Linked DNA regions of Mus musculus: all the other regions are reported to be linked to region 4. The links are microRNA targets in miRTarBase. Many come from high-throughput screens and were not tested one by one. Region 4 holds a microRNA gene; each other region holds the end of a gene's coding sequence.
The links. The annotated mature microRNA mmu-miR-694 reads CUGAAAAUGUUGCCUGAAG and lies in region 4 at 2,096-2,114, shown strand. An mRNA with a match to its seed (bases 2 to 7 or 8) in the 3' UTR can be bound and repressed. Matches are read on the target gene's strand: a 7mer-m8 pairs with bases 2 to 8, a 7mer-A1 pairs with bases 2 to 7 and ends in A, and an 8mer does both.

Region 1 (3,000 bases), not on the chromosome of region 4:
TAAAAAGATTTTTTTTTCACACGTGTACATATGTGTACATATGCGACTCGTGTGTGAAGGTCAGAGGTCAACATTTTGAGGTCAGTTCTCTTCCACTTTTACATGAGGTTGAACTCAGTGACAAATGCCTTTACCAGCTGAGCCATCTTGCCTGTCTTTAGCCTCTTTCTCTAGGGCCCACCCACCTCCAAACAGAGGCTTGATAAATTGTTTCCTTGATTTTTGTTTCTCCCCCAGTACAACCCTCAGCCTCAACCCCTATTCCTGAGAGTTCTGAGACCAGCCAGACCATAAACACGACTCCAACTGTGAACACAGCCAAGACTACAGCCAAGGACACAGCCAACACCACAGCCGTGACCACAGCCAATACCACAGCCAATACCACAGCCGTGACCACAGCCAAGACCACAGCCAAAAGCCTGGCCATCCGCACTCTCGGCAGCCCCCTGGCAGGTGCCCTCCATATCCTGCTTGTTTTTCTCATTAGTAAACTCCTCTTCTAAAGAAAACTGGGGAAGCAGATCTCCAACCTCCAGGTCATCCTCCCGAGCTCATTTCAGGCCAGTGCTTAAACATACCCGAATGAAGGTTTTATGTCCTCAGTCCGCAGCTCCACCACCTTGGACCACAGACCTGCAACACTAGTGCACTTGAGGGATACAAATGCTTGCCTGGATCTTTCAGGGCACAAATTCCGCTTCTTGTAAATACTTAGTCCATCCATCCTGCGTGTAACCTGAAGTTCTGACTCTCAGTTTAACCTGTTGACAGCCAATCTGAACTTGTGTTTCTTGCCAAAGGTATTCCCATGAGCCTCCTGGGTGTGGGGGTGGGGAGGGAATGATCCTTCTTTACTTTCAAACTGATTTCAGATTTCTGGCCAAACCTACTCAGGTTGCAAAGGACTTATGTGACTTATGTGACTGTAGGAAAAAGAGAAATGAGTGATCATCCTGTGGCTACTAGCAGATTTCCACTGTGCCCAGACCAGTCGGTAGGTTTTGAAGGAAGTATATGAAAACTGTGCCTCAGAAGCCAATGACAGGACACATGACTTTTTTTTTCTAAGTCAAATAAACAATATATTGAACAAGAATACCGAAATGTGCTAAATTGAAAGATAACCCTTAATGAGTGATAAAATACAAAGTGTTACCTAACTTTGTTTTTAGAACTAGGAATAAAAGTGTGTGTGTGTGTGTGTGTGTGTGTGTGTGTGTGTGTGTGTGTGTGTTTTCAAGGACAGATGCAAGGTTAATTTATCTCAGTTTTGTTTTGTCCAGTCAAAGCTGGTCATTTCTTCCTTGATGATAATTTATACCAGGAAATGGGCCAAAAAAGAAAATGCTTGTAATATTTATAGTACAACGTGAAACCAAAAAAAAAAAGTTATTTCCAACAATAAGCCTGTAATAAGAAATAAAAGTTTTCCTTTAATAATTCCTTTTCTATACCGTCCAGGACCCAGGGGTGAGCACCACCCAGCTCAATCATTAATCAAGAAAATGTCCCTCTGCTTACATTCTCTCCTCCCAGATTACCCTGGCCTGTGTCACGCTGACAAAAGTCTGACCAGCTCACAGTGTGCATAAGGTCCCGCATAACATTAGTCTCTTCTCTGTGCTGAGTCTGTTAGCTGCTTTAATGTGTGCCTCACGGGCAAGCCTCACCAAAATGTGCTATCTTGAGAGTCGCCTGGTTATTCTGTCCACTTTTAAAGATAAGTCTGAGGGGTCAGAGAGCTTCTGAAACCCCTAAGCACAGAGCTAATACCTGGGCACAGCAGTCCTCCCTTTGCCCCAGCTCTCTGGAGGCTGGAGAAAGGACTAATGGGAAGTTTGGGCACAGTCTGGTCTTCGAGGAAGTTCGAGGGATACATAGCAAGACCCTGGGAGGAGGGAAGGAGGCAGGAAAGGAGAGAGAGGCCGCGGAGATGGGGAGAGGCTGGGCAGGAACACAGTCCTGCTGCAGATGCTTGGTTTCCACATGTACACCAGGATTTGAGTCCCGTCCCGTCCCCCCGTCCCCCCGTCCCCCCGTAGCTGGCTGAAATGGGAGCCACCCCTGCTTCCTGGAGTGTGGAATGATGACAGTATCGTTCACGGCAGAAGCAGTAACTACAGAGTCAACTGTAGCCCTGATCACGCAGCCTCTCGGCGTGTGTCTTTGATTTTTCTGGTAGTCTGTTGTTTTCTGAATGGAGACAGTCTTGCCTTTCATAAACTTTGGTCATTTTCAATCCACATTTCTTTGCTCTTTCAGCTTCCTTCTCTGTCTCCTTCTGAAACTCCAACTATAAATATGTCAGTGCGTTTGCATCCCAGAGACCATTTTTTTTCTTTTTTTCTTTTTTTCCTGCTCCTCAAACTAGATCATTTCAACTGACCTCTCTTCAAGCTCTCCAATTGTCCTGCCTCCTCAAGTCTGCAGGTGAACCTCAACATTATATATTATTATTATATATATTATATATATTACCTGTTACACCTTCCAGCTTCAAAAGTTCTATTTGGCGTCTTTCTATAATCTCTCTCTGCCCACCTCTATTCTGTGTGCAGAAACATTTTCCTGGCTTCTGGTCTTTGTCGCTGTTTCAGTCCCCACTTTGAACATAGTTAAGATGTTGACATCAAGTCTTTGCCTCTTAGGCCCAGTGGCTGGTCTTCCTTGGGAACAATGTCTGCTTCAGTTTTTTCCCTTTGTAAATTTCTGTTGTAAACTGGGTGTTCCGACTATTACAGTATCTTGACTCTGGAAACCTGATTCTCTCAGTTGTACAACTGCTGGTGTTGACTGCTGCCACTGAATATAACTGCAGACTGCATTCTTTGTGTGGCCACAGAGTTTTCTTTCCTGATTTCTTAGCAGTTAACCAGTGACCTTAAAGATTCTGTTAAATGCCAAATTTAGCATTTTTGCCCGATAGCTGGTTTTTGTGTTTGTTTGTTTGTTTGCTTGCTTGCTTGCTTGCTTCTTCTTTGCTGTTGTTGTTGATAA
Region 2 (3,000 bases), not on the chromosome of region 4:
CTTATTCTAGGTGTTGGACTTCATGGTTTCTGGAGTTATGGTTTTAAATGTTTCAGTAGTTAAATTAATTAGCCTCTGGAAATTTTGGAGCTCTTTCGTAATGTGAACATGTGATTTTATTTAATATGACTATTTCTCTATATGCTTTGTTTTTCAGACCTGGTTGCAGCATGCTTGAAATATGGGATGTGGAAGACCCGTCCAACGCAGCTAACCCTCCCCTCTGCAGTATCCTGCTCAAGGATTCTCGGCCGTACTTTACCACAGTGTTTCAGAATAGTATGTACAGAGTACTGAAGATTAACTGAGATCAAGGTGTCCCAACCTGCTGTAGTGGAAAGATGTGTATCAAAAATGAACACTTCCAGCCTTATTTACAGCAATAAAATTCACAAGCTTTACTAAGAAGACACTTTTAAAGCAAGATAAAAACTATTTAAATTTTTCTGGTTACTACTAATGATAAATTACTTCATTATTTGCATTGAATGTCAGTCTGTCAAGCTTACCTCATAAATGATTAAGTCACCAACAGATGTTCATTTTAGAGTTCCAAGGGAACGTGTATGGAAAATATCAATATAATTTTAGAAACCAAAGCGAAGTAATTCCTTTTCAGTCCAGCTAGGTGAGTTGTTTCAGGTTTCCCTAGTACCCATGGATCAGCCCAGACCTTCTCAGCCATGGAAACGAGCACAGGCTCTGAGAAATCCGATGATGGTGGTAGCCTCATTCAGTTTTAGTTTATGATGAAGACGGTATTGCTTTATAAATTTTATCTCCCAATAAAAGCTATCTATCAAAAACGCTTTGAAAATTGGTAATTACCTTGAAGATAGAGTATGTCCATCAAAGAGTAAAATTGTCTCTTTCTTTTCATGATAAACTTTAAACATGCTAGATGTTTGATATGCATCTGCTCCAAGTTAAGCATCTTGGATTTTTTATACTTGTATTTTCCTTATGTTTTTGGTCAACCATAAAAGATGATTCAATTTCATAGATTAGTTACATATAATTACTTGCAATAGGTATGCAATTACATCCCAACTTTTATAGTTGGAAAACATTTTGATGCTGAACACAAAATAGCTAAGAAAGAATGCTGAATTGTGTTGATTTTAACATTTTCAAGTAGTTTCTTTTCTGTGTGGAGCAAAGAGGGGAACAGATATAACACTCATTTAAAAGTAACATGTTTTGGACAATGTCACTAGAGGGATATTTTAAAGTAATTATTAGAATTCAACAAAAATGGTACGAGCTATGTTAACCAATAAAGTGTTCCTTGTACATAATTTTGTCCTATGAATTTTATTATTTTCATGTGCAAAACCTATTACATCATTTTAAAGGTCCTCTCCTATTTCCAGGTCTCTGGGACTTCCTACAGATTCCCCTCCACCAGCTCCAATTACTCTCCAAGCCCTCCAGGCTTCTCTCCTGTCTCTCCCCACATCTGATCTTGCCTTCCCATTCCTCTTCCTCTTCCTCTTCCTCTTCCCCTCCCCCCTCCCACCCAAATCCCTCCCTCCCTCTGCCTCTTATGACTATTTTGTTTTCCCCTCTGGGTGTGATTCAAGCATCCTTTCTTAGACCTTCTTATTTAACTTCTTTGGGTCTATGATGTGTATCATAGTCATTCTATTCTTTATGGACAATATTCACTTGTCAGTGAGTGTGCTCCATGCATGTTCTCTTGAGTCTAGCTTACCTCACTCAGGATGATTCTAGTTCCATCCATTTGCCTGCAAAATTTATGATATTCTCATTTTAATAGCTGAATAGTATTCCATTGTGTAAATAAACCACAATTTCTGTATCCATTCATCAGTTGAGGGACATCTGGCTTATTTCAAGTTTCTAACTATTATGAATAAAGCTGCTATGACCATTGTAGAACACATGTCCTTGTGGTATGGTGGAACATTTTAGGTATATGGCCAGGAGCAACTAAAAATGAGAAAAATCATAAATTTTACAGGCAAATGGACAGAACTAAAATCATCCTGAGTAAGGTGAGCCAGAATCAAGAGGACATGCATGGTACATACTCACTAACAAGTGAATATGGGTCTTAAGTGATAAAAACTGCATGATATTTGCCACTGACCTTCTGGGTCCCTGTGTCTGCGTGGAACGGGGTCTCTCGACGGCGGGTGGGCAAAGCGTGGATGAATGACAGACAGACACACACACAAGAGAGTTTGTGTGGAATCTGAGTGTAATTTTACAACTCGAGCATCAGACATTTTATGCAGAGGACAATAAGGAAGTTGGGTGACATATTCGCAAGGTACAATTGAGGTAACCGGAATCTTACATAAAACAGAGGAATGCAAACACAAAAGGTCTAACGGGAACCACCCAGGATAGACTACATTGATAACAGCTGGGATCAACAAGGGCTCCACCTAAAATTCACTAATCTTAGAAGCCAGGGTCAAGGGCTTCGCGTCCTTGCCATAGTTCCTATTTTAGTCTCTTGTATAGTCCACCTTCCCCTTAGGTCATTGTAAATACATGTGTATGGGTGTAACTCTGTTATAATATCTATTCTGGTTTCTCCTTTGGTCTGAAACTTCCTTCTTCCTAAGTGATGGTAAATTCCTGTGTAAGGGAGTGAGTTAGCTTTTACAATCTTGCTGAATTCTAAACCCTTGATCTTGGTCAAGGATGTCCTTGGACTGTTGGAACACTGGCGGAAGGCTTTAGCCATGTTAGAGCACTTATAATAGGAAAGTACTGAAAGAGAGCACGTGGATCCATACTCTAGACTAGCACAGTAATGGAACTCGGGAATGAAAAATTAATGTATGGGTAGAGAACACTAGACTCCAGGAGGAGAGCTTCCTTGAAACACTTTTGCCTCATGAGTGACTTTTAAGCCTTTCGGCATGTCCAGTTGACTCGACCGGAGAGCATAGCAGATATTTGTACAGAAACAGACAGGTTGATCAATGAAATAGAGTTGAAGACCCAGAAATAAATCCACATACC
Region 3 (3,000 bases), not on the chromosome of region 4:
CACATCATATTTGGAAGATCCCCACGCCGTTTGCAAGTCATGCTTTTCACCCTGTGGACGGCTTCCTTCAGAGTCTGCCTTACCATATATACCCCTTTGTCTTTCCACTGCACAAGGTGGTCTACTTAGGTTTATATGTCTTGGTTAATGTCTGGACAATTTCTATTCATGATGGTGATTTTCGGGTTCCCCAGATCTTAAGGCCATTTATTAACGGGTCAGCTCACCACACAGACCACCACATGTTCTTTGACTATAACTATGGACAGTATTTCACATTGTGGGATAGAATTGGAGGCTCTTTTAAACATCCTTCCTCTTTTGAAGGGAAAGGACCACATAGTTACGTGAAGAACATGACAGAAAAAGAATCTAACAGCTTTGCAGAAAACGGCTGTAAAGGCAAAAAAGTAGGCAATGGAGAGTTTACAAAGAATAAGTAGATTATTGCCCAGTTATTAACTATTTTAAATAAGAAAATAATCTACACAGTCAAGATACCTAGCAAATAAGTGGTGCCATTGGAATGTCAGCATTGCTTGAGTGTCATGCTGAGGGATGGTCCTGACAGTAAACAGCGGGAAGACACCGGGAGCATTGTAATCGCTTGGTTAATTGTCCGACATTGGTCCAGGAACAACTTGTCTTTTCAGCCGGCTGACCTGCAGCCTGTACAGCTCTGAAGCATCTTTAAATACGATAGAAAATAAGCTACTCAAGAAGCTGGTCTGTGTCCTTTTGCCTTAGTCCATGCATACTCATTAAGGAAAAAAAGTACCATTGTGCTAAACGCTACTGAGACTAACCAGGAAACCCTAACGATGAAGATGGTCCTGTCCCGGGAGCGGCTGGCTCCACCGAAGTGCTGGGGAGTTGCAGGACTTCATTCAAATAGGAATATCAGTCCAAGCAAGCTGATACGTGAGTGGCAGTGGATAGGATTTGCTTAATGGCTGATGTAATAAGATTGTACTTCCTATACAGAGGCACCTTACTCTCTGGGGCATTATCAGATTTTAATAAATGAATAAATAAATGGTATTTTTTTTAAATGTCAGCTCTTCCATAATTCAGTCTAGATAGGAGATTATTTAACTGAAGATCTTGGTGAGTGTCATTTTTTTTTCTTTTTTCTTTTTTTGGTTTTTCAAGACAGGGTTTCTCTGTGTAGCCCTGGCTGTCCTGGAACTCTGTAGACTGGGCTGGCCTCGAACTCAGAGATCTGCCTGCCCTTGCTGGGATCAGAGGTGTGCACCACCACTGCCCAGCTTGAAGTGTGTCATTTAAAACCACTGTTTAATAACCCTACAGACATGAATCTGGATAATGCTAGGTATAAACTTGTGGCACCCAGTGACATCTTTTTTTAATCAAGTGGACACACTTTTGATGTATTTCTCAGTTACAAAGCTGACTTTTTTTTAATGAAGGGAATAATTGCCAAGTACTTAAATCTACCTGAGGTACACTTTTAAACCTCATCTTCTATTTCTTCCCTCTCTTCTGCAAATGAACAAAACAAAACATAAAGGTGGTTGTTGTAAGCTAAGTATATTTGTGGAGGGAGAAGATATGTTTTTATAAAGTTATTCTAATGGCTATTTGTGCAAAAAAAAAAAACACCAATAAAAGTTGATCATAACTGCTATTATCCACTTAAATGTTATAGCACAAAACGTCCTTTGTGCATTGGGGTCACTTTGAAGGCGTAGAGGTGATGTGGGTTATAAAATCTGACAGCATCCCAGATGCTCAGAGTCACACTGCACTGTGTGCAAACATCACTCATTGCAACCGTCTCTTTCTCATTTGTTAGTTGACTTTACCAAGTGCTCTAAGGAAGTGGAAACCAGAAGGAACGAAGCTCTGTGTTAGGATCTAGGCTTCCCATTTCTTGGGTACAACCCACTAGAACCCTGGGGTTTGAATACATCAGCATCACTAAGACATGGACTGATTAGGATGTTGGATGAATCTGGCACCTAGCTCTTAGCAGTGTGCTGTGCATACAAAAGGATCCTTAAGATACACTGTTTGGTACTACATCAAGGAACGGTAAACCCCATCCCACCACCACCACCAAATGGGACATCTCCATCATCCCTAACCCCCGAAGGAAGAGGAGGCAGAGAGATTGAGAGCAGAGACCAGGGAAGATGCTGCAAGTCTCTAGACATGAGGGGGCCTTTGTGCTCGTAAGCTCACTATAGCTGTGGCTGTCGATATATGAACCAGCCAGTCAGCATTCCAGAGTGGTTGGGGTCATGGATGGGGTGTGGGGGTTGAGAGGGTCCCACCTCCAGCTGGGAGCTTTTGACAGTTGATGATTGCTTGAGAAGGGAGAGTCCGTTTGCAGTGGTGCAATCTCTAAGTTGCTTTTGCACCACTGGGTTACCTCCCAGGCCAAGGCCTGTTCTGATTGGACTCTGGCTTATAAAGTAAAAGAAGATAGGAAAATTGGAGAGGGATGAGGAGGGGTCTGGGGAAGTTTGGGTATGAGAAAGGTAGAGTGGATATGATCGAAATGCGAGGGGTGTGTATGTGTGTGTGTGTATAATAAAGAATAGCTAAATAAAATTTCAGAGGCACCTGAGCGTTTAGCCTTCAGTTTCACCTCAGGAGTCCCCAAGAGTTAGGACATGTGAGTCAGAGCAGTTGCCCTTCGCACCCTTGCTCTCTCCCACCCACGGGGGCTGAGTCGCTGCCGCCCAGTAGGATCAAGCACAAAGACGGTGGCTCCTGTTTTCTGGGTTCTGTGATGGTTGAGGTCGGTCTTCTGCTAGGCCCTCAGTAGGAGTTCGGTGGAGGAGCCTGCCCTCCCTTCATGCTGGAGGGTGAAAGACATGAAGATGAGTTACAGAAATATGTAAGTAAAATCGAAAACAAGACACTGATCACTGTGAATTATCTTGAATGGGATAAAATTGCTAGTATTTTTGTTGCTGTAGCATTCTTTTTAAAAATGTGCCATAAACAGTCTATAGTAAAATTGAGAGACAA
Region 4 (3,152 bases):
TGTATAAAAGTTCTGTAGGGTAAAAAAATAAATAAGAAAAAAGCCTCCCATCTGGCATTATGAGAGTTGGAAACTCCAAAGCTGTACGTTTGAGTTCGTTTACTGTTAAGCGTCCGCTATCCATGAGAGAAGCTCGTTTCCCAAGAGCCTCCCTGAGAGAAAACCTAAATTCTCATTTACGAGTGGTTATCATTCGGAGGTATTTTCAGGGTTAGGGATGGTCATGGGTCTACTTCTCTTTTCAGCTTTAGTACCCCATCCGATGTGGATATGGAAGGACTGTGCGCCCTGTCTCAGTCTCTGAGTTGGTCCTGATGCACTTAAAAGACCGTGATTTACTGGTGTCCTCCATCCCTCCTGGTCTTCTATTCTTTCTGCCTCCTCATCCACAGGGTTCCCTGAACCCCGAGGGGAGGGATTTGATGGGGACAATCCAATTAGGAGGGAACATTCTAATCTCTCTCACTCCCTGCATACTGTCTGGCTGCGGGTCTCTCTTTGTTCCCATCTACAGCAGGAAGAAACATCTCTGTTGACAACTGAGCAAGACACTGATCTATGAATATAGCAGAATGCTGTTAGGACATTTTGTTGCTATGTTCCTATAGTGAACAGTAGTATTTTGTTTACCCCTAGGTCCCTGGGCTATCTAGTCTCCGGTTCTTGGGCACTTGAGCAGTGTCATGTATGGGTTCTATCACCTGGAATGAGCCTGGAGTCAAGTCAGATATTGTTAACATACTCCTGTAATCTTTGTGCCAGCGTTTCCCTACTGTATTTTGCAGGAAGGACATCATTGTGGGTCAAAGGGTCTGTAGTTGGGTTGGCATTCACACTTCTTTAGTAGTATGCAAAGTACCTGCTGGTACCAAGAATGGGAGGTCTTTCCATCTTCTGATACCGTAGTCAGTTTCCTACTTCAGGGTCTTAAAGTTTTTATCATCCAAGTCTTTCACTTACTTGGTTAGAATTACCCTCAAGATATTTTATATTTTTTGAGGCTATTGGGAAGGATGCTGTTCCTGATTTCTTTCTCAATCTGTTTGTCATTTGTGTATAGGAAAACAACTAACTTTGTGAGTTAATTTTGTATCTTGCTACTTTGCTAAGAGTGTTTATTAGCTATAGGAGTTTCCTGGTGGAAGTTTTAGTGTCACTGATAATGTAATATTCTATCATCTACAAATAAATATGTACTATATATTTAATTAGAATATATATTCATTTATATACTATTATATCATCTACAAATAAATATATACTATATATTTAATTATAATATATATTCATTTATATACTATTATATCATCTATAAATAATTATATACTATATATTTGGTTAGAATATATATTTATTTACTTATATACTATTAATATTAACTTCTTCTATTCTAATTTTTATCCCCCTAATCTCATCTTCAGTAGTTTTCTTGCTGTGGCTCAGACTTACAAGTACTATATTGAATATGTATGGGGAGAGTGAACGACGCTGTTTTCTTTCTGATTTTAGTAGAATTGCTTTGAGTTTCTCTCTGTTTAAGTTGGTGTTGTCTATGGGCTTGCTGCAAACTGCTTTTCTTATGTTCAGGTATATCCTGTGTCTCCCTGACCTCTCCAGGACGTTTACCATGAAGGCAAAACAACATAAAATTCACACGTAGTATAAGACATTTGACTCTAGTATTGAATTAGGTACAATTAGATCACCCCTTAGCGCTTCTGGATTTTTAAACTAGTTTTAAAAGATAAAATAGATTCTCGATTCATACTCTCGAATCTTTGTTTCAAAGAAGAGGCATAACTTACCAGTTAGTTTCCAGCATGTCTGATAATTCTACATAGTATGTGAGCTGCATGGTGAGCCTTGTATTCTGCTCGCCTGAGCTCACATCAGTTCAGAGGAGTCTGCAGGTGATGAGCACAAGTCTGACCCCAGGAATCTCCAAGTTAGGGTAATTGGTGTGAAAAGTGTTTCTGTGCATTCAGATGGAGAAACCTGAAAATTACAGCTGTTGTAAGGTAAGAGCTCCCGGCGGCAAAGCTGCCAACTGGGAGTCAAAGGCCAGCTCAGGCATCGCTTTCAACCCAAGACCAGGCTGAAAATGTTGCCTGAAGCAGTCTCTGCCTTCTGCTTTCATCACAAATACCCGACCCCCACTGCACCCCCTGCCCTGTGACCTGCTCCTGGCCAGACAAAGGCCAGCGGTAGCTCCCCAGTTGGAAATTGCATTCTCTCTCCATTTCAGTGCAATTGTGGGGCTCACATTTCCTGTCCTGGTTCTCTGAAGATGGCCTTTGGGTTAAGAAGGGAGTTTGAAGATAATGGCTTAGTCATGGGCTGGGCTTGTGGTCTCGGAAAGGTACCATGCTCAAAGCTGGTCTGCTGAGCAAAGAAACCCAGGCTAGACTGTGTGAGCATTTCCAATTTCCACTTGTCATCAAAGGAGCTAACCAATGCTCTACATTCTGCTGGAATGGGGGCGATATGCTTCATGCACCTAAGCCAACTTGGAATAGTTCTACCCCTCCCCCACCCCACCACCCCACCACCCCACCCCCAGTTCATGTGAGCCGTGATCCTGTCATGATTTGTACTGGCTTTAGTCAACCTTGTCATGTTGGAGTGGTGCAACAGTCCCCTACTTAAGCAGCTTAGTCTAATCTTTGGGAGGATTTTTTTTTTAAAGAATGATTTATTTATTTTTATTTTATGTATATTAGTATTTTGTGTGGTATGTGTGAGAATGTCAGATCCCCTGGAATCAGAGTTGTGATCTGCCATGTGGAAGCTGGGCATTGAATACTTGCCCTCTGGAAGAGCAGCCAGTGCTCTTAACCACTGAGCAATCTCTTCAGCCCCGGAAAGTTTCTGTTTTGTTTTTGCTTTTTTTTTTTTTTTTTTTTAATTGACAGCTGATACTTGGGCCCCAGCCCTAAAGAGTCAGATGAAATTGGTCTGGAGTAAAACATGAGAAACTCAATTTGTACTATCAAGGTTGGGGACCAGGGACTTCACAGCACCCTGTGAGACACACGTGATTATCAGTAGAATCCTTCCCACTTCACAGCTGAGAAAGCCAAAGCCTGGGGTGATCAGCAGACTTGCTCAGCATGGACATGATCAGTTAGTGGCATAGCTTGCCTGTGCAGATT

Region 1: miRTarBase lists Plet1 as a target of mmu-miR-694. Seed matches in the 3' UTR shown: 7mer-A1 at 1,237-1,243.
Region 2: the mRNA of Dpy19l2 is a reported target of mmu-miR-694. Seed matches in the 3' UTR shown: 8mer at 1,127-1,134.
Region 3: the mRNA of Sc5d is a reported target of mmu-miR-694. Seed matches in the 3' UTR shown: 7mer-A1 at 1,145-1,151.

Annotation. Positions count from the first base shown.
Region 1 is chr9:50,504,040-50,507,039 of GRCm38, forward strand. It overlaps Plet1 (placenta expressed transcript 1), which reads left to right. Exons shown (of 4, transcript NM_029639.2): 4 at 238-1,600. The coding sequence ends at 506. Plet1os (placenta expressed transcript 1, opposite strand) reads right to left here and starts at 766. Exons shown (of 3, transcript NR_040714.2): 1 at 582-766.
Region 2 is chr9:24,555,345-24,558,344 of GRCm38, reverse strand. Dpy19l2 (dpy-19-like 2 (C. elegans)) reads left to right here. Exons shown (of 22, transcript NM_001166207.1): 22 at 158-1,297. The coding sequence ends at 308. Among named protein-coding and RNA genes, the nearest start is that of Dpy19l1, 54 kb to the right of the region's middle.
Region 3 is chr9:42,252,785-42,255,784 of GRCm38, reverse strand. It overlaps Sc5d (sterol-C5-desaturase), which reads left to right. Exons shown (of 6, transcript NM_172769.2): 6 at 1-1,608. The coding sequence ends at 443. Among named protein-coding and RNA genes, the nearest start is that of Sc5d, 10 kb to the left of the region's middle.
Region 4 is chr18:66,218,238-66,221,389 of GRCm38, reverse strand. It overlaps Mir694 (microRNA 694), which reads left to right and starts at 2,057; the gene lies at 2,057-2,126. All of the region lies in intron 2 of Ccbe1 (collagen and calcium binding EGF domains 1), which reads left to right.